Linked DNA regions of Notamacropus eugenii. The protein of the gene in region 1 binds, or shares a complex with, the protein of each later gene. Links are inferred from orthologs where the notes say so. Each region holds a gene or a part of one and is shown in the gene's direction. Other genes may lie near its edges. The genes, in order: GNAT1, RHO and UNC119.

Evidence for each region.
Region 2: the proteins of GNAT1 (region 1) and RHO are in contact, whole or in part, in a cryo-EM structure (PDB 6OYA), measured with the Bos taurus proteins. The link is inferred for Notamacropus eugenii from reciprocal best matches to the Homo sapiens genes GNAT1 and RHO. Residues at the interface, in NP_851365.1 of Bos taurus: Ala27, Arg28, Asp189, Leu190, Val312, Glu314, Tyr316, Asp333, Ala334, Asp337, Ile340, Lys341, Asn343, Leu344, Lys345, Asp346, Cys347, Gly348, Leu349, Phe350; in NP_001014890.1 of Bos taurus: Leu72, Arg135, Val138, Val139, Lys141, Ser144, Asn145, Phe146, Arg147, Val230, Ala233, Gln236, Gln237, Ser240, Thr242, Thr243, Lys245, Ala246, Glu249, Val250, Met253, Met257, Asn310, Lys311, Gln312.
Region 3: the proteins of GNAT1 (region 1) and UNC119 are in contact, whole or in part, in a crystal structure (PDB 3RBQ), measured with the Homo sapiens proteins. The link is inferred for Notamacropus eugenii from reciprocal best matches to the Homo sapiens genes GNAT1 and UNC119. Residues at the interface, in NP_000163.2 of Homo sapiens: Gly2, Ala3, Gly4, Ala5, Ser6, Ala7, Glu8; in NP_005139.1 of Homo sapiens: Asp87, Phe88, Val89, Arg90, Phe91, Ile105, Lys106, Lys107, Gly126, Arg127, Phe128, Val129, Tyr131, Phe137, Val147, Glu163, Leu172, Ser218, Tyr220, Asn230.

The regions. Positions count from the first base shown.
Region 1 is NC_092872.1:5,370,790-5,377,999, reverse strand, and holds the start of GNAT1 (guanine nucleotide-binding protein G(t) subunit alpha-1), read left to right. Parts: upstream 1-4,202; 5' UTR 4,203-4,232; coding exon 4,233-4,338; intron 4,339-7,210. UniProt on the Homo sapiens protein: Functions as a signal transducer for the rod photoreceptor RHO. Required for normal RHO-mediated light perception by the retina.
Region 2 is NC_092874.1:431,909,431-431,916,412, reverse strand, and holds the start of RHO (rhodopsin), read left to right. Parts: upstream 1-3,978; coding exon 3,979-4,339; intron 4,340-6,840; coding exon 6,841-6,982. UniProt on the Homo sapiens protein: Photoreceptor required for image-forming vision at low light intensity. Required for photoreceptor cell viability after birth.
Region 3 is NC_092873.1:35,937,898-35,945,221, reverse strand, and holds the start of UNC119 (protein unc-119 homolog A), read left to right. Parts: upstream 1-4,314; 5' UTR 4,315-4,421; coding exon 4,422-4,596; intron 4,597-7,324. Other genes in the region: PIGS (GPI transamidase component PIG-S), read left to right, coding at 2,467-2,742. UniProt on the Homo sapiens protein: Involved in synaptic functions in photoreceptor cells, the signal transduction in immune cells as a Src family kinase activator, endosome recycling, the uptake of bacteria and endocytosis, protein trafficking in sensory neurons and as lipid-binding chaperone with specificity for a diverse subset of myristoylated proteins.

The DNA.
Region 1 (7,210 bases):
GACCTGTGGTCCATGAGGGAGCTCACGGGCATTGGTCAGTCTATAGTCCGAGCTCAAGTGCCCTCAGAGGAATGGGCCATGGCGAAGCTCTGGTCAGTCAGCCTGACATTGCCTGCCTGAGTGGTGCCATCTGAACTTATTCCCAATTCCTGAGAGAAGGTGGGGCAGGGGCTGGAAGGGACAGTAGCATCAGGACAGAGTCAGGAAGCCCTCTCTTTCACCCTAAAAGTGCTAGCTAGTAGAAAATAATGGAAAGAACCCAAGATCGAAAGCCAAAAGACCCAGATAGGAGTCCCAATCCTTCTATATGGTACCTGTGACTTTGGATAAATAACTTTTCACTGAGACTTAGTTTCCTCATTTGCAAAATGAGAGGGTTGGGTTAGATGGTCTCATGTCTTTTCTAGCTGTAGATTTATGATCCTATGAACCCCTCAGAGTCTGAGATTCCTTAATTATAATTATAAATTATAATTATTTATGTTTTTATAATTAATTATAAAGTGCTTGGCTATTTGGAAAAGCCAATGGGACAAAGGAAGAGAAAGTCCTCTAAGAAATATGAGGGAAAATAGAGAAGAATAAGAAAGCTATGGCATCTCTCCAATGAATATCTGAAGAAGGCAAGATTTGATTTTCATAAATTTCAGTTTATGGCCAACTTTTTAAAGGTAAAAGTGCATTTAGGGTAAATTGAGGCTAGCCTGACTCAGTCTGGACTGTAGTGAGCCTCGGAGAGGGCTCTGTCTCTGAGCACTTGGTGCCCTCTAGTGACCACGTAGACTCCTCAGCAAGATGGCAAGGCCAAGTGAGCCATGAGAGGAAATTAACCCAGCCGAAGAGTTAGGACTGGAGGGCAAGCTTCTCATTTTACAGATGGGGAAACTGAGTCAGAGAGGGCAGAAGAATCTTGTTCAAGGTCACACCTCATGTTAATGTCCGTGACGGAATCAGGACTAAAAGAAAATCAGCTTGGTGTCGTGACAAGAGTACACGGATTTACGTAGTCAGAGGACTCACATTAGAATCCCAGCTTTGCCAATTATTTCCAATGTGACCTTAGATCAGTCACTTCCATTCTCTCCTTTGTAAAACTAGGGGATTGGACTCGAGTTGTGAAGCCTATGAGCCTATGGTCTCATCTTGAGCTGAAGAAGATGGGAGAAGATTCCATTTAGGAAAATGTCGGATCTTTCAATGACCTCCTGTTTACCACTACCAAAATTGTCATGTTTTATGGCCTCCAAAAGATCCTGGGATGCCTTAATCTGGAGAGAACCCAAGTGATCAATGCACCAAAGGACAATGGAAAAATCTTGCTGTGTATATACAGAGTGCTATACACACCTGGCCATACTATAATGTCAGAGAGTTGTTTATTGCTAAGAATTTTGCCAGAGAATGTCACTAGACAGATAGGTAACCGGGAAAGAGGGTGATCTGGTCATGAACCAATGGACAACTCCATTGATATTCATGCAATGTCAAAAGAACTAGACGGTCCCCATCCCATTCGTTTAGACCCCCTTTAGAGAATCAGTGGGAGGACACAGAGAAGAGTTACCCAGGATGAGAGGGCATGCCTCATTGGTGGGAATACTCACATTGATCAGGTCACATACATCAAAGAATTGAACTTGTGTGCAAGTCACATCCTGCTATTAAACCATAAGCTTAATGGGGGTAGGGCTCATATTGGAACTAAACTTTCTATCTCCCTCTGCACCTAACATGGTGTTCTGCACAAAGTAGGTATATGTCAAATGTTGGCTGTGTTGGGAAAAAAATGAAATGGAGAAGTAACAGGAAAGACATTACCAAGGACTTGTATTTTGGGGAAAAGACACGCATTGAGATCGAGAGATGCCAGATGGACTGTCTAAATGCTAAGCCCCTAAGATATTAAAAGAACCAGAGGAAGCCTCCCACTTATTGGGTGGATTCCTGATATTCTGGGGACAATATGGATGAAAGTTGCACAGAATGAGAAGAGCCTGGAGGATCATGGAGCTACCAATGGAAGTGTTTTGGGGTGTGTGATCTTTTTTCTCCTCCAGACTAGGAACTCCCTGGAGATGGGGTTTGGATCTGTTCTTCCCATGCCTGCTCCAGGTCCAGTGTGGTTTCCCTGGGAGTGGGACTCAGGTCTGTGCCTGCTCTGCCTCCTCCCACTGACTCCAGTTCCCTAAAGATAGGTCGTGAGTCTAATCTATGTCTGTATTCCTCTGCAGTGCCTAGATCAAGGACCCCACACAGGAGGTGCTCAGAAAATGTTGGTTGAGTTTATCCTTGGTATAGTGAAAGGGCCCTAGGTTGGGAGTCCATTAGTGGTTCTGCCACTAATTTGCTAAGTGACCTTCCTCTTTCTGGGCCTCAGTTTCTGGGCCTCTATAAAATAAGGGGGTTGGAATAGATGACCTCTAAGGTCAGCTAGGTGGGGCAGTGCATCAAATGCCAGCCCTGGAGTCAGGAGGATATGAGCTCGTTGGCATTCTGAATTCTTCCCAAGCTGACCTCTTTTGCATTATTACTGCAGTCGTCCTGTAAACCATTCTCCAGACTGTGCTTCTCATTTCACTCTGCAACGGTTCAGCTTGTTTTCTTCTGTAAGGTTTTATAGCTTAGAACTGCATGAAGACTTTTGGAATGTCATGAATGTAGACACACACATTTTTTTAGATTATTTATTTATTATATTTATATATAACATGTATACATGTATATATGCGTGTCTACATACATACATGCATGCATATATATATATGTCCTTGATATTCTGGGAACAATATGGATAAAAGTTGCACGGAATGAGAAGGCATGGAGATATATATAGATATATAGGTATAGATGTATATAAAATGTATCTATATATGTATTACATACATGTGACATGTGTTTTTCTTTTTTAGTGTATAGAACAGTTCACACTTTCTTATATAATCTTCTTTCTTGTTCATCTGTACTAAAATGTATGTTTGTTGCTCATTTTCATATTCAAAATAAAAAATATTTTTGCAGTCCTGAGAAAATGAAGAAGATATGAGCTCACATCAGGTCTCAGATACTTGCTAGCCATGTGACCTGGACAAATGACTGTATCTTCAATTTAAAAAAGGAGGTCGTAGCACCCAGCTCCCAGGGTTGTTCTGAGGATAAACGAGATAATACTTACAAAACACAGTAGGTGCTTTTAAATACCAGTTCCCTCTTTCCACCCAACTAGACCTAATGGATCACATAAATGTACACAGACACACATACTTGCAGATTCAAATCTAGACACACATAGTTACATGTAGACATACAATGACATTACAGATGCTGTCACACACAGTCATGTGCACACAGGCACAGCACTCTGGTTCATGGTCATTCTGTCACAGGACCTCCTGTCCCTACACCCAGGATCTGGTGTCCTGAGGTTCAATCACCCCCCCAGGAAGGAGTCTAAGAGCAAGGTGTCCAAGCACATGTCCCATGATCACCTTGAAGAGATGGGGAAGGCTCTGTCTGCCAATACTTTGGGGAGGGCAAGATGTAGGGTAGGGGACAGACTCCTCAGGTCCCCCTCCTGAGTCCCAGTTTTGTGGTTGATGGGGAGGAGTAGGGTCTCTGCAAGGTTCCATGGAGAACTCTGGGGGTGGTCCAGGGAGGGGATCGGAGCTAACCTCCAGGTTCAAGGTTATTTCTGGCTTCTTCTAACAAATGAATTTAAAAAGCATTTATTATACGCTTACTGTGTACAAAGAACTGTGCTAAGGGCTCATGCTTGACTCCTAGAAAAGACAATCCCTATGTCAGTGGGGGAAGCTTCTTCTCTCTCCAGGACTGAGAAGGAAGATGCTTTAACTCCCTGGCCCCCAGATTGGAGGTAAGGGGGAAAGCACAGAGTCAGCTTGTAAGGGATTGGGGACAGGGCCACTGCCTGATTATGTCTGGGGAAGGAGGGGGACAGGGGCTCTCCTGAGCCGGATTCACCTGTCCTTGGCCCTGATTGGTTCCTAGGCAGCCCCTTTGCCCCTAAATCCTGCTAAGCAGTCCCCAGCGGGAGGGAGATATGGAAGGACCCCACTCACTCTGTCCTCGAACTTCCTGGGACCAAGAAGGTACCAGGGAAGAGGGCCAGGGGCCCCGGGCTAAGCCCGAGGTGTGAAGGTCCCATCTCCACAGAAGATTTAGGTCCACATTTTCCGCCTCTTAGACCACCCTCTTACCCTACCCCGGCCAGCAAGATGGGGGCTGGAGCCAGCGCTGAGGAGAAACACTCAAGGGAATTGGAAAAGAAACTAAAGGAAGATGCCGAGAAAGATGCCAGGACAGTGAAGTTGCTTCTACTGGGTAAATTGAGGGGGGCCCTGGGGCAGGGATCTTCAACAGACCTGGGGAGGTGGGAAAATGGGCAAGTCCTTTCAGGCCTCCCAGATGACAAGAAGGAAATTGCAAGGAATTCCATTGCAAGGAAATCCTACATTTTCAATGAAAAGAAATCTGGATAGAGGGGATGCTGTCCCCTTCCTGATAGGCTAGGCAGGGGTTCCAGAGGTCCCTTCCTTTGGATTGGTGAAAACCCAGACAGCTTGGTGACAACTGAGCCTCATTCTCAATCTTGTAATGGGAGTTCTGAAAGACTCTTTCTAGAAAGAGAAAACCCTTTTATAAAAAAGCATAGTAGCTTCTAACCAGAGAAGTTTTTGTAAAAAAATAATCACCCCCACTCCCACCCTCAGCCTATCTGAGAACATTTTGCCAAGAAAATAATTACCATTTAAGCTATCTGGCCAGTCTAGACTGCTTCTGTCACTGGATTATGGATATAACAGGCACCCCAAATGTTCAAGCAACAAATGAATAGAGGGAGAAAGCAAAAGTAGCCCCTTAATCTAATAGTGGCCTCCACCATCCCTGGCCCTTCTCCCAAAAGTGGAATGTTTTTTCTGGGGGTGCTGGGAAGACCAGGGGCTCTACTTGAGGCCATCTCTAGGCTTCTAAGAAGGTTTATAAATCAAGGAGAGCTGGGTTGGGGTACCAAATCAATAACTAATACGCTGTGGGATGCTGGACAACTCCCTTTCCCCATGACCTTATTTTCTTCTTCATCACCACAAGGGACTGCCTAGATCATCTCTAAAACCACTTTCTGTGTTCTAAGATGCCTTTCACTTCTATTCAACTTAATTCAAGTTAAAAAACATGGCTTAAGTTCTTAGTATGTGGAAAACGAAGGGGACAGCAGTTGGTGGTGAATGTGCTAGACCTGGCTGGCATTGGGAATAATGAGATTCAGATCTCACCTCTCACGTTTCCCAGCTATGTGTTGTGGGAAAGTCAGTTAACCTCTCAAATAATTTAGAGAGAACTCTCATCTCTCTAGGTTCCCACAGCAGCCAAAGCCCGGGTCCTAGAGACAATGTGTACTGTCATTGTAAGGTTGCTTCTGGCTTTGAACCTCAATGTAAATCAGGTTTATAGCTCAATAATGTCAAGGTACCATGCATGTATGGACGTTTTAGTTTACGGAGCATGTGCAGATTGGTTACTCCTTTGGGCCTCATTTCTGCCTAAGGTAAGTCTCAGGGCAGGGATTATCATTCCCATTGTATAGATGAGGAAATCCTGAGAATCACAGCGTGTCAGAGCCAAAAGGCATCTTAGAGACTTTACAATCCAACTCCAAATTTTACATAAGAGGTTAGTGCGTGAGGCCCAGAGAGATTAACTGAGCTGCTAGAGGTCACACAGCAAGTAACAAAGCCCGTTCTTAAAGCGTGACAATTCCCTGGTGTACCTGGTTTTCTGTATCTGTAAACAAATAATCTGCTCCGCACACAGTTAAATGCACCACTGGAGTAGCACTCTGTAAAGCCAGAGCTCTTGGGGGGAGTTCTTTTGTAATAAGAATAAAAGTCAGCTCACTCTAAGCAAATTCCATCTACATAATCCAGGGCAGCTGGGTGGTGCAGTGGATAGATCTCTCTTCCTTTCACTGAATTCAAACCTGGCTTCAGACACTCACTAGCTGTGTGACCCTAGACAAGTCACTTAACCCCATTTGCCTCAGTTTCCTTATCTTTAAAATGAGCTGGAGAAGGAAATGTCAAACTGCTCCAGTATCTTTGCTAAGAAAACCCAAATGGGGTCACAAAGAGTTGGACAGGACTGAACAACAAACAAACCCATTTACTAAACAGATACATCGGAGGCAGCCATGACCTTAAAGAAGGATTTGACCTACTTGGGTGGGAAGAGCATTGGGTTTGGGGTCAGAGCTGCCGTGTTCCCGTCCCTGATCTTCATGTGACTTTGGGCCAGTCACTTCCCTTCCCTTGAGCTCAGTAACATAAGGAGACTAGACTAGATGACCCCAGGGTCCCTTCCAATTCTAAGCTCCCAAGAGCCTCAGATCTTCATTTCACTGTGGTCTACAGGACTCTTCAGCTAGCCCAACTCCCCAAGGACATTTAAAATGTGTTGGGTATTGAATTACAAAGGTCTGGCTCTCTCTCACACACATTCCCAGAGCATGTTTGTTGTATTGTTTCATGGGTCACCAGGGCCAGAGAATTTGTCCTTTAGCGGCCAGCCTCTCCCTTCTTAACAGGGTTGGTCTTGGGACCCCAGACTCTATCACCTGATGGTCCCTTCCACCCTGGTGGAAATTGCGAGATTCTTCTTTCCTCTGGCATAGCCCCTGAGAAACCAAGCGCTCTGCTGGCAGACTACCCAGAGGTGGGACTCAAGGGAGGTTGGCCAAAATTGCCCTGCTTACTACAATGGAATTTTGGATTAATAATGACAATAATATCTTTAAGGTTTGCCAAGTGATTTTTATAAGAATAATAATAGCTAGCATTTATGTAGCTCTTACTACGTGCCAAGAACTGTGCTAAGTGCTTTGCAAGGATTATCTCATTTGATTCTCACAGCAATCCTGGGAGGTGGGTGTTTTTATTATCCCCAAATTTATAGATGAGGAAACTGAGGCAAACAGAGGTTAAGTGACTTGCTCAGGGTCACACAGCTAGTATGTGTCTGAATTAAGATTCAAACTCACTTTATCCTGACTCCAAGCCCAGCACTAGCTACTGAATCACTTAGTTGCCTCTCTCTTGAGGTAAATAATGTGGAAACTCAGCTTTTTCCCTGTAGCAGAAAATACTCTGGGGGGTAAAGGGGAGGTTCAGGGAGAGGAGGCTAAACCCCCGCTCACATT
Region 2 (6,982 bases), on another chromosome or scaffold:
CAGACTCTTAGTTTAGGTCTTAGTCCATTGTACCGTGATTCCTTTCCCTCCCTCCAACCCCTCGTTTAAGATGGAATCTGTCAGGTCTCATGAGTTTCTCAGAGACCAGTTCCATAAAGATACAAAAGGGTTGCTGTTTGTTCTTCATTTCTGAAAAGGACCAATGACATCATTGGATTAAAGAGAGGCAGTTGTGCAAAGTCATTAGCCTCACTCTTCCAGAGTTAGTGAAGTCCAGTGGCAAGACAAAGATGTCAAGATGACCAGGATGCAGTAGGTGACTTTGGCATCTTTGATGTCTGACCAAACTCTAGGCGCTCCATGGTGCCTGCTTTAGCCAACTTCATGGCCCTTGGAACAAATGTTCTCATCTGCCCATTCTATGTGGGGAAGTCTTTGTTTGCTTGGGGTAGACATCTCTAACTCACTGATGGCTTTGAGGCAGACTACCACCTCTGGTGTGAGGGTTTGCCAAGCCCTTTTCAGAGCTGCTTATACACCTTGGGTGCCCATCTGTCACCCATCTCTTACCTGTGGTTCCAAGAAACTGTAGCAGACACAGCAACCACACAGATCATCTTGGCAGATGAGCCAGGTTGAGGGTAACCAACAACAAAGATGTGAAAATAATGAAGACAAGAACACTTTGAATTTTTGTGACTCCCCACTGCTCACAGGATAAAGCCCATCCTTCTCAGGGGGACATTCAAGGTCCTCCACACTCTGGCTTAGTGTCTTAGATTTTCCTTAAACACTCGCCAATGAGACTCAATGCTCCAACCTGACTGGAAAATTTACTGTTCCTAACCATGCATGACAATTCCACCCTGGTCCTCTGCTCATGCTGCCTTGTTCCACTTCCCTGCCAAGTCACTCACCAAACTTTCTTCCCCTTCTCCAACTGGATCCTTCCCAATCTTCAAGGCTCAGCCCAAATCTCACCTCCTCCACAAAAGCTTTCCTAAAACCCCAGGCCACATGTACCTTGCCCACATGGAAACTTTTGTCTAAAAATTTCCTCGTGATATTTCTTCTATTGTTATTTTTATGTTTATGTATGCTTGCCTTGTCTCCTCGTTTTAGCCTGCAAGCTGTTTCAGGACAGGGATTTTGCTATATGCTATATGTGTGTGTATGTATATATATGTATGTATGTGTGTGCGTATATGTGTGTATCCTCCTCCCCACACACATACTTCTCTCATCTTCTCCCCCTCCACACCTGGTACAGTACCTTAAATATATTAGGTAATCAGTATTTCTTAGATGAATTAATAACATTTTATATTCACTCATGCAGCAAACATTTATGTAATCAATCAACCAACAAGACTTCTAAAAGTATCTATTATATGCTAAGAGCTGTGCTCAATGCTGGAATTATAAAGACAAAAATGAAAGTCCTTATCCTCTAACAGGGGAGACAAAACACACACACACAGGCACATATAAATACACATGTATATGCATATGTGCACACATCTACAGCTACATGTACACATGCAGTCAACACATATGTGTATGCATGTATATACATATAGGTATTGTACACATGTGTGTGTATGTATGTATGTATCACACAAAGAAAGCAGGTACAAGATAACCTGGGGGTGGAAGAGGAAGGCCCTAGCAGCTGGGGAGAATTAGGAAGCATCTCATGGAAAATTTGAGATGAGTCTTGAAGGAAAGCAGGAACGTTAAGAGGCAGGTGAAGTGAGTGCTTTCTAGACATCAAAGAACACTGACCCAAAGTCCTACAGTGGATGTGGTATATAGGAGCAAAACGGTCATCATGGTTGAACTATAAGGGGCTGGAGGGGAATAATGCGCAATAAGACTGGAAAGGTAAGTTAGAGTCAGTTTGTATGAAATACTGGAGGGGCTGTGGGAAAATAAGTCTATTCGTTCACTGTGGGTGGAGCTCTGAACTAGTCCATCCACTCTGGAAAGCAATTTGAAAATATGCCCCCAGAGTATTAAACTGTGCATCTACTTTCCAGGGCTGTGCTGGAGCTAGCTCCAAGAGCAGAAGAGCTGATTGTTAAATGTTCAATGTGAGCATTTATATGTTAGAAATCATACCTTCATTTATTGTTTTTTTCTAGACTTAAGAAAGGAGAAAATATTAATAATTCACTTAAACATATGTTGTTCATATATCCCCCCCATCTTGAAAGCCGGTTGTTAAACATTCATTAGCACGCCATTGCCTTTGACTCAGTGATGCCACTACTAGGTGGCATCAACAAGAAAAGGGGAGGGGGAGGATGTACATGTACAAAAATATTTACATCAGCTCTGTTTGCAGTGACAAAGAACTGGAAATTGAAGGGGCTGCTCAGCCCCTGCCTGATTGGCTGCCCTAAAAGTCCTCTAGAAGCCCACATTCTAGGAGAGTGGATGTATCCTATCTCTAAATAACTATAGTATCCTAGAAAGCTGATAAATGTTTGAGAAGCATTAATAATTAATAATAATAAATAGACATATAGTGCTTTCAGGTTTGCAAAGTGCTTTCATTACTTGATCTCCTTTAAACGTCACAAAAACCCCATTGGGTGGTTTCTGTACCATAGGTATTATTGTATCTGTTTTATAGGCGGGGAAACTGAGGCTAGAAGGAGTCAACATTGGCAGTGGGATTTGAACCTCCATCTTCCTGAGCAGAAGTACAACATTCTGGCCAATGTATTATCCTGCTTCTGGTACTGTGCCTTGAATGGTGGAGTAAGCGCAGCTGAATTTATTTGCTTAGGGAACACGGCCTTTTCTCTCTGGAGTGGCAGGCAGCATGGTGGAAAGGATAGAAAACTGACTTTGGAGGATGGAAGGTCTGGGTTCAAGTAGGGTCCCTGGGCCATTCAATAGGTAAGTTGCTTGGTTTCTCACGCAACTCTCCAACACTGTAATTGGACAAGTAGGAAATGTCCAAGTAGATCCAGACCTTGAAGAAATTTCTCCAAGTTAGCTGCTGTTTGTACTTTTTGAAGCATTTTCCACAAAGGAAGTGCATTTCACAAATGAGGAGCATCTCCACAAGCCTGAGAGGCAATCAGGATAGTAGGTATTCTCTCCATTTTACAGATAAGGATACTGAGGCCCAGATAGGCTGGAGCGCTGCTGAGTCCACAGAGTGTTCTCTTAGAGCCAGGCTCTGGGACCTTCTCTAATCCAGGCCTCTTTCCCTTCTATGGCAACAGTTTTGGTCACTCCTCCCAAACAGTCGTCTGACGGGGTGGACAAAATCTCCTTCTTCTTTTGCAAAATGAGGATGGGCTTCGCATTCACCCAGACCTCGTCTCATCCCTGTCTCATTGGTCTTCTGTTCCCTTCTGTCCATTTTAAGAGGCCACTTTCATTCAGAAAATAGTTGAGCAAATTAATGCAGTCTTTTGGGATCCATAAATGGTCATTCCAGCCTTGCCCAGGAAATAAAAGGGGAATAAGAGTCAGTCACACTGCAAGGGCGAGGGGAGAGGAACATTTTTGTGTTCTTTTAATTGAGCCTAGTTTCTTTCAGGCATCACACAGCTGCTCCCTGGCCAAGGCACTACATGATTTTAGCTCTCCTTTCTTGATGGGACACCCTTGGCCCAGAGCTACTTATTAATGAGATCCACTCAACTCCTCAGGACCCCTTCCTTGGGGGGTCTCAGGCCTAAACTTTCCCACTCCAAGAGATCCTGTCTCTGTAGTTAACAAGAGTCACCTTGGTGCCTTCCAGGGAAGCCAATTAGTGCTTGCCAACCTAGCTGGATTATTATGATTAATTATGCCCTGAATCTTCTGGGTGCTGACTCCATAGAAGGAGGGCTTACCCAGAGGGGGTCACTTTATAAGGACCTCAAGCCACAGCTCCCAGTTCCTTCTAATGTGGCTGATCTAGCCTCTTGTCCCACTCTGGGAAGGAGAGGAGGAAGGTCCTTGTCAGTGGCCAGTCCCCTTTAGGCCCAGGGCAGAGAGAGCAGCGCTACAGCCATGAATGGCACAGAGGGACCCAACTTTTACGTCCCTTTTTCCAATAAGACTGGTGTGGTGCGGAGCCCTTTTGAGGAGCCTCAGTACTATCTGGCCGAACCATGGCAGTTCTCCTGCCTGGCGGCTTACATGTTCATGTTGATTGTCCTGGGTTTCCCCATCAACTTCCTCACCCTCTATGTAACTATTCAGCACAAGAAACTGAGAACGCCCTTGAACTATATCCTGCTGAACTTGGCAGTTGCTGATCTCTTCATGGTTTTTGGTGGTTTCACAACCACCCTTTATACCTCCCTGCACGGCTACTTTGTCTTTGGACCCACTGGCTGCAACCTGGAAGGATTCTTCGCCACCACAGGAGGTGAGTGGTTCCCTAGGAAAATGATGAAGAGATCCCCTTCCTGTCTATCCATCGTTGGAGAGGGAGGAGAAGATCTCCGGGACTAGGGCTGAGTGTGTGAGGTTGGTCAAATAGGGGATACTGGCAGAATTGAAGATTCTAGGCTTAGAGCTAGGCCTCCTTCTCTTAAATGCAGAGGTGGGGAATTATGGGTGTAGAACAATGCATGAATTTGTTGAATACAGTCATGGTGTTGGTTAATATTTCCAAACTGCTTTTTTTCCTCTTTCTTTTCAAAGGAAAGCCTTGTTTTCCTTTCTTTGTTGTTACAAGAGATGGTTCAGTAGATAGAAGAATGAGGAGGGATATATCAAAAACAAATATTTTTAAAAAGATCAATAAAAGGAAGAAATATTTAAAAAAAGATTTATAGTTGCACAGGTCATTTCGACCAACCCTGTCATATTACGGGTGAGGCAGCTGTGAACAGGAGAGGGGAAGAAATTTGTCTGAGGTTATGCAGGTAGCAAGGGGTAAAGCCAGCATTTGAACTTAGGTCCTTTGACTTGAAATCCAGTGCTCTTTTTAGTTGCTACCACCCTCTCCCCAAACACATGTCAGTTCCAAGATGGGAAAGGGACCTGGGAGTATTTGAGAGCTCTTTCAGAGCAATGAAATACTTTAGGGGAATGATTTGGAGAGAAGAAAGAACAGTAAAGGTATCTGACATAGACATAGCTCTAACCAGTGCTAATGTATCCCCCTTCCACTCACAACATTTTGCCAGGAAAGCTTGAAGCATGAGCTATTTCACAATTTCAAAGATTTAACGCTGAAAGGGACCTTAAGAGATTCCAGCTTAGGGCTGGAAGGGAATTTTGGGATCATCTATTCCAACTCGTTGTGTTTACAGGTGAGAGAAACTAAGGTCTCAGGACAAGGGTGTGCTGATAAATATTTAACAACCAGTTCTCTGAATTATTAACATTTTCCTGCATCATTTTTTTAAGTTTAGACACGCACACACACAAACAGATCAAGCCCTGGTTTATAGATTTTTGAGATGTAAATGGTCACATTGAAAATTTAGCCATTGGCTCTAATTAGCTGGTTGGAGCTGGCTCCAGGACATCCATCCCTACCCAGAGACTTGCCCAAGGATGCCCAGTGGCAGGGCTAGATCCAAGGTTAGTGGAACTTGGGTCCAGTGCCCTTTTAGGTACACACAGGAGTTACTACCCTGTAAGTGTGTGCTTCAGGTGTTTTCCATAGATTATGGGATTATAGGATTTGTATCTGGATGATTATGAAGTTTAACCTTCTCATTTTACAAAGGAGGCAAGTGAAGGTCAGAGAGACTTGTCCAAGGCACTCATCTAGAGAGGAGAAGAGCTGCAATTAAAATTCAGGTCCTCTGAGTACAAATCCAGTTGTCTACACCCTGCTGCTTGGTCTGCTTGTGTTTTCATACATCCCGCAATGGGTTATTAGCTCTCTGAGATCAGGGATGCAGTCTTTTCTCATCTCTGTGTGTGGCATACTCCAGAGTTTTGCATTCAGAAAGGATTTTGTGATTATGCCTGTTAGACAAAGAGAGAATCACAGAATCAAAGAATCTGAAATTGAAAGGGACTTTATTGACTCTCTCATCTGACCCATACCCTAAAAGATTCCCTTCTATAAATATTTCTGACAAGTGGTCTTCCAGCTTCTCCTTGAAGACTTTCAAAGTTGGGAAACTCATCAACCCTTGAGGTAGCTCATTCCATTTTTGAACAGTTCTAATGGGTAGGAATCTGCTGTGCTCCCCTGAGCTCTAGACCTGGGCTACTTCTGGGCAGAAGATCAATAGAGGAATATGGGTGTGGGTGGATGAGTGCCACAGAAGGGTACAGCTGAGATCCCTGGGGAAGTTCCTCTGAAGGGACAGTCTCAGTTTCTTCCAGCTTGCCTTCTCTATATAGAATAACAGACCATTTCTACCTCTTAGTTAGTGATGGAGCATCCAGAAGGTGGAAGAGATACAAGAGGGTCTCTGAATGGTTAGTTATCACATGCTATCTGAGGTGTGATCAGAAAAGATCCCTGACCCTGAAATTCCACTGTTCCCTTGGGTTAAACATTACCCTTTCTTTCCCAGGGTCTTCTTTAAAGATGCAAATATCCTTAAGCAAGGATCTAATTAAGTCCCTAATACCTCCCAGAGAGCAACCTTATCAGATGTCTTCCAAGCTAAGGGGTTGGAGCCAAGGGCAGCAGGAAAGTTTTTAGAACTTGGGATATAAATGGTGCTGAATGGGGGTGGGGGTATGAAAGGCAGAAAAAGAAATTTTGCCTCTTGCCCAATTTTGTACTGAGCTGATCGTGCATAATATTATGAGGGAGCTGAAGAGAATGTCCGGATTTATTTGGGTCTTGAACTCCAACCTTCCTTCCTCTCCCTCTCTTTGTCCTTTCTTTCATCCTCCCTGCTTTTCTACTGGGTCCTCTAAAGCTGGAAACATTTCTATTGTATCTTTCAGGTGAAATAGCTCTGTGGTCCTTGGTGGTTTTGGCCATTGAGAGATATGTGGTGGTCTGCAAGCCAATGAGCAACTTCAGGTTTGGGGAGAACCATGCCATCATGGGGGTCGCCTTCACTTGGGTCATGGCTCTGGCTTGTTC
Region 3 (7,324 bases), on another chromosome or scaffold:
GGATGCCACTGAGGAAGCGGTTACAGTGTCTAGGAGAGGGATGATAGATGAGATCTTGCAGGAGCAGGGTGGCCCCTGAGAGGGGCAAGGAAAGCAGATGGATGGGAGACAGGTGAAGGGAACAGAACCTGCAGGACCATATCAGGGGGATGGAGTTTATGAAAGGACGGCAGCACCTTGGACAGAGTGTGGGGGAACATCCTGGAGAACATCAGTTCAGGGCCAGAGATGAGGGGAGGAGCTTATTAGTACTGGGTTTATAATTTGGAAGTCATTATGTAGGGTTGATAATTGAAGCCATGTGAGCTGAGGAGATTGCCAGCAACCCTTGAATGACACAAGAAAAGAGGGTCCAGGACAAAGCCTTAAGAGATGCCCATGATTAGTGTGTGGGAGCTGGCTTAAAAGCTGGCAGAGAATTCTCAGGAGAGGACCATGTCCCAGGGAGGGGAGGAGTATTCAGAAGGAAAGGAAGGGTGGGCAAAGGGTGCAGAAGCCTAGGAGGTAGGGGCAGAAGAAGTACCATGGAACTTAGTGGTTCAGGCTTGTCAGTAACCTTGGGGAGAACAGCTTGGGTTGAGTAGAGGGGTTGGGAGGAAGGGGGTGAAAGGAGACCACTCTTTCTAGCATCTTAGTACATTGAAAGGGAAAGGAGAGAGAGAAGGTAATAGTTCAAGGGGATGACGGGTCTAGTGGAGATTTTTTTATGAATGGGAGTGGACCAGATAGAAAGTCAGAGACTGAGACAGGAGGGAAGAGGAGGCTCAGAGGTATAGATGGAGCCTTGGCAAAGGAAAGGACCACTGCTTTCTCGGAGATTGAGTCAGAAGAGACTACATGAATGTGCAGGAGTTTTGAGGTGTGTAGTAGGAGGGGTGGAGCTCATATAGCCCTCTGTGAGCATATATATTAATTTATTTTATCCTCATGATAACTGTGGGAGGTTGGTGCTTTTCCATCCCCATTTTAAATGTCAAAATAGGCAGTCGGGTGAAGTGATTTCCCCATGGTCACAGTTAATAGGTGTCTGAAGTTCAGTGCTCTGTGCACCATGGCACCACCTAGCTGTCATGGGGAAGAGGAGGGAGTTCAGGAGGGAGGAGAGGGAAGGTTTGGAACTGCTTTGTGATCGAATCAAGCTGGAAGAATCAGACTAGTGGCACTGGGCTGGAAGGCCCAGGTGAGATGAACATTCACTTGGGTGCTTTGTCTGCCAATGTTCAGCAACACTAATGTCAGGGCATGGAAAGCAGATGGACGTGGGCCTGGCCATTGACTGGTTGAGGATGTTTCCAGCCAAGCTGGCATCTCTAGGGGAAGACTTTAAGGGGAGAGAAAGGAGGCCCAGGCACAGGGGATGGATTTGGAGGACAGATGAAGAGACGGAGGAGGATTGGAGCAGGTGGAGATGGAAGGATGGGGCATTATCTTCTGGAATTGGAGTTGGCACCATTATGGGTGATGGTGCAATTTAAAGTATGAGCACCCCTCTGAGCAGCAGAATTGAAATGACGGTGAATGTAGGGGGTTAAGGTTGGTTCCTAAACCCTCCTTGGATTCCTTTGTCAGATCTTCAGCCAACCCCCATGCACTAATTATGGGCATCTCAAGTCTTTGTCCTGGGCTCTCTTCTCTCTGGTGTGTCATTTAATCTCTCCCTGCACTGGAGAACCCTCGATGCTTGAGGGAACATCAGCATGTATATTAAAGTCCCCAAGTATGGGGTGCAGGTCTTGGGGTGAAGATGATGACTGAACGAGGATTGAATCCCTTGGGAAAGGACAGAGTATATAGCCTGGAGACAGGAGTGTTAATAGCAACAAGAATTTGGTCCAAGTGATCTAGAAGGATTGAATGAAGCTGAAAGGGGAATGATGTGGAGGGAGGGTCTGGAAGTGGTCATGAGAAACATGGAATAAGTGGGATCTTTCTGGGTGTGTGTGTGTGTCTGTTTGTGTCTCTGTGTGTCTGTCTGTGTCTGTGTGTGTGACACTGGATGGGGCCAGGGGTTTCCTGAGTGGCAGGATGGAGGGAACTTATGGGCTAAGGTTGGTAGGGATGAGAGTCGGGGAAAGACTTGACTTAGCAGAGGGCATCTGACTCAACAGATTGAGAATCCCAAGGTGGAAGTTATTCATCTGTAGGATGGGGAAGGGACCCATTCAGGTGGCACCTCCAGCCTCCTGAGTCCTGTGATGATTATGCAGCCTCTGCATGGTGTTGTGAAGGGCATTGGTAGCCCCCCAGGGAATCCTGGTGATACCTGGAGGGATTCAGAGTAGCCCATGGGATCACCCTGTATTTTTGCCCTTCCCCTTCCTGGGTTAGGTGAGGGTGTTGGATGTCCTTTTAAGTGAATTCCCAGAGTGACCCAGGACGTCAGTGGCATGCAGACACTAAACTGCTGTCTCTCCCCTCCCCTGGCCTAGCTTAGGCCCTTCTGCTGATCAGTGTCTTCCTGCCCAGGTGTACCGGGCAGTGGACGCCTTCCACGAGGCGGCAGTGGCGCTGTCTGAAGGGAACCTGAAGCCTGCTCTCCGAGCCAGCCAAGAGGCGGTGACTTCCTCTGAGAAGGCCTTCTTTGACCCTTCCCTTCTCCACCTCCTCTACTTTCCTGATGACCAGAAGTTCGCCATCTACATCCCCCTCTTCCTGCCCATGGCGGTGCCCATTTTTCTCTCCATGATCAAGATTATTGTGGAGAACCAAAAAGTCAGGAAGGATATTGAGAAGGTGGACTGAGTGTGTGAGGGGGCAGAGTGCTCCCTCAGGAAAGGAGGGGCAAGTTGGAGAGCAGATGAATCTCTGCTCTTGGGAGTGGCCTGGCCCCATTCTGGACAACCTCACTCTTCTCTGTCCTTACTTGCATGTCCTTATGTTCAGAGGCCAGGCCTTTGGGTGGGTGGGAGAGTGGGTGGGCAAAGGGAAGGGCCTCCAAGAAGTGCTCTGCCCAGGACCTCTTTCATTCAATTCCCTCATAAGGGATCAGCCAACTTGGTGGGTTGGGAGAGTAAAGGGAAAGAAAGAGAGGAAACTGAAAAGGAAATAAAAGTCTTAGGAGTCTTCTGGCCCTCCATGAATTGCCCATGTTTTATTCACTTCTTGGTTTAAACTGAGGCTCTTAGGGTACGGAATGGTGGCACACTGCTACTGGGCCAATGATTCACGTGTCTCAGCAAACTTGGACAGAGAAAGACTCAGGGTGGAGGAAACCACCCCAAGTGTATGGAATGGGAGACTCCTCATCATTGCCTTGCTCCAGGCAAAAAAGCACCAACATTTGCCGGTGTTCCCTTAGAAGTGATGGCTGAACCCCTGTTCTATGAAATCACTCCCCCTTCTCAGCCTCCTTATGGATGGCTTAGGCATCACTAGCTGCAGGCCTGGAATCACTTGGCCTTGCCCAGGTTGGGGCTCCTTTTGCCCCCTTGGGTGGGGGAAAGCCGTAGATATCCCCTTAGGAGAGGTTTGCAACAGATTGCCAGTCCTTTTCTCTGGCCTTCCCCTTGCCCTCTGCTGTCTGGCACAGCAGGTGGGCCTGAGCCTCAGCCTCCTGGACTGAAGAAGGGAGATTGGCCTCTACAGCTCTGGCCTTCGTAATTTCCCTTCCCCTGCTCCCAGAACTGGCACTGCCGAAGCAAAATGCCATCTGGCCTTTGGGTGCCCTGTTCCCTCCCCCATCCACTTCAGTTGGTTGAACTGGGCCCTCGAAAATCCAGCTTTGCCTCCCCCTACATCTCTTCAGTGTCTCCCCTTAGTCTTTTTTCTGGAGTGGGGCACGGGCAGCCTTGGTTCCGAGACCTTAAGCCTGACTTCCTGGGGGTGGTCCGGTAGGGACACAGGATGAGAGGCGCCCCTTGGGGCCTTAGAGGCCGGTTGGGATGGGATTTCAGAGATCTCTTTGTTCCCCTTTAGGGAGGGACCCTGCTCAGAATGGTCCTCACCCTTCTCCCACGCACGCCCAGGCCCTGGTGCCAGCTCTGAACGTTATTTTGAGCCATCTGCTTTCCCAAGTGGACTGTCCTTTCCCCTCCCACTGAGGCTGGCACTGGGGGAGAGGGTGTTCCCTGCGCGTTCGGGGTGAAGCGGCGAGGTGGGGGGAGGGGGACTCGGAGATAAGTCTGGGGGTGGGGAGAAGGGACGAGCGCAGGGCATGCGAAGGGAGAGGCGCCGAGGGAGGAAGGCTGGGGATGTAGGTCCAGGGGCGCGCAGCGAGGCGGGCCTTGGGGTGGAGCAGAGAGCAGGTACCTGGGGCGGGGCGGGGCCAGGAGCCGCGGGGGGAGGGTGGGGGGCTGGGGAAGTAGAGAGGCCAGGCTGGGCCGGACAGACCCGGGCAGATCGCGCTGCCTCCCCTTCCCCGCTGTGCGGGCTCCGGACGGCCGCGGCGGTGCGAGGGGCAGCCGGGGGCCGGGAGCGGGGCCATGAAGGTGAAGAGAGACGGCAGCGGGGCCGGGGCCGCGGCTGGGTCGGACCCCGGGCCAGGGGCCACGGGCAGCCAGGACGACGAGGCGGGATCGGAGCCGGAGCCCCTGGCGCTGCGGAGGAAGGCGCTGATCGGGCCCGAAGATGTGTTGGGGCTCCAGCGCATCACGTGCGGTGAGGGAGGCGTGGGGGGCTCCGGGGCGTGGGGGGCGGCTGGGGAGGAGGGCTGCGTCCCCAGGGAGGCTCCTGGACCATGCACTCTGCGCGCACCTCCCCGGCCCCAGCCCCATCATCTCCACCCCATCCGTGGGCTCTAGCCGCGCCCCTCCATCCTCTTCTCCGCTCCCTGCGCCCCACCCATTCTCTCCACCTCAGACCCTGTCCTACCTTCTCTTCTCCATCCTCCCTCCTGGGAGCTGCCTTTTGCTCACTATGGGCTTGGCCCCTGCCCCCGTTTCCACTTAGACTGAACGGGGCAAGGCAGTGAGGGCAGTGGTCTTTCCTTTCCTCCTGTACCCTCTTTGCTATGGGGTGAATTAGCTGCGTTGCCCAGCAAGGTTCTAGATCAGACCTAGACTTTCAAGGAGGGCCCAGTACTTGCTGAGTGGACCCTCACCACGTCTGGGCATTAGGATTGGGGGGAGGGGAGGCACTTTGGGGTAAAATACCAGTTCGTGCGGGGGAGACCTGGGCTGGCAGGACCCTCCAGGTACACGCCCCTCCTCCCAGCCCGGGAGCAGTCTCTGATCTACTTGTTAGGGATTGAGGTCAATGAGGTGACCCTGAACACTAATCTCTCTGTCTTAAGCCAGTGGCCCAATACCCCCCCAGTCCAAGAGAGCACCTCAGGATAGCCTTTTTATGGCAACAGAGGGGCTACTGTATGCCCAAGTATTCCCTGTCATCTTCTAGTCCCTAGACAAGCATTTGGGGGGTGTTTGCACCTGACTTTGAAGCTGTCTCTGGAGACTCCAGGCTAGGGGCAGGTCTACCTGTAACCCCCTGGTTGCTGCCACCGGGCATCTGTTGAGTTGGCTGACTGTTACCATCAGGGAATTCTGGGTCCTGGAGCTAGGTATCACAGAATGCTCCTGAAATGATGATCTTGAGGCCTCAGTTTCTCCTCCTCCAGGATCCTGATATCTGGAAAAAGAAATGAGACAGGGAGTATGTCCATAATCAAAAGAGAGTGCCTACTGTATACAGGGATGCCTAGCTATGTAAAGCAATCTCATCTCTCAAGGAGCTCCCAGCCGGGCTGATGAGACAGCTCACACCCATTAAACGTTACATAATGGTTGGTACAGGGTATGTCACTAAGCAGTCTCTGCTAAGGGCCAAAAAGAGGGCTCAGATGAAGTCACAAGGCAGAGAGCCTGTGGGAAAGGGTGAGACAGGATGGGACACCTCTGTTTTCCCACCATCCAGGGTGGAGGGGAAAGGTCTTTCACTACAGCCTGAGAAGCTAGGTAGGAGCAAGGCTTGGCCCTGGGCCCCTTTGCAAGGGTCCAAGGCGTGGAACCCAGGTGGAACCCTGTGGAACCCTGGCCAGTCTAGACCTCTTTGGCTTAGGTAAGGAGGGTGAGTGGGGTAGGGTCTAGTATGTGATGTGGCTTGGGCCACACAGTGTCCTACTAGAGGTGGGCTTCCCCAAGGATTCTTCTCTTTGCTTTCGAGACCAATCTGGCCTGTTCTTACCCTAAGCTGGAGTAGACTCCTTCCTCCTTTATCTCCCTGAACTTCTTTCTCAATCAGCCACTTACCCTGGAGTTTGGGGCCTAACACAGAAGGAAGGACCTGCCTAGGCTGGACTGTTCCCCTGGGACACTGGGCATTCTGACCCAGACTGAAAAGAAACAGGAAAATGTGTATATGGTGCTGGATGTGGTTAGACCAGGGAGAGAGATCCATCAGTCTGTCTGCAGGCATTTATTAATCACCTTTATGTGTCAGGCACTTCCCTAAGCACTGGGGATACAAAGAAAGGCCCTGCCCTCAAGGAGCCCTTATCTAATGGAAAGGGCTTAAGGAAAGGGTTTCTGCTTAAGTTGTGATAGGCAGAAGGCAGGTCAGCTCTAAGGAGGAATTTCCCTGTGCAGAAGACTTGGAGGATGCTTGAAACAGCTACTGTTGAGGAGTGGGCTCATGGAGCCTCGAGGTCTCCCATCTTGTCTTGCATTCCTTGCCTTTCTCCTGGACTTGTCTGGTTTGACTCCAGCCTCTGGCCAGCCTCCTCAGCCGAGGATGGGGCACCAGGACCTAGCTCATCCTCTAGGCCACTCATTCATTCAACTTGTACTGAATTCCTCCTGCATTCCAGGTGCCATAGTGAGCCATGGGACTACAAAGACAGAAACCAAACAGGAAGTCCTTCTCTGGGTCTGATCTCAGTCCCTCCTGACTCACATTTTATTTTCTGTGCTGATAGCGAAAGTCGATTTCATAGGATCATAGGATTTAAAACTAACCTGTGAGACATTAGGAATGGGTTTCTCCAAGCCCCTCCTTTTACAGATGAGGCCACTGTGGTCCAGAGAAATTAAGGGACTGGTCCAAAGTCACTCATGTTGTAAGTGGAAGAGCTAACTCAGGTCAGCAAAATAACCCTTCTCTCTTTCAAGAAGACCTTATTCTTGTCTTAGTCTAGCTGACTCACCTCAGTCTTATCTAAAAAAAAAAAACCCAAAATACACAAAACCAAAAAACCCCAAAGCCAAACCAGCCAGTGGAAGGAACCCTGCTTTTGTCCTCAGCCCTCCTCTCCTTTTCAGTCAGCCCATTCATTTATCCCTCCCAAACTTCCTTCTTCCCTTCAGTTCTGAGACCCCCTAACCCTGATCCCCAGGGTCCCATCTGGAGAATGAGCAGTTAACCAGTGGGGCTCTGCTCCTGTCCTTTACCC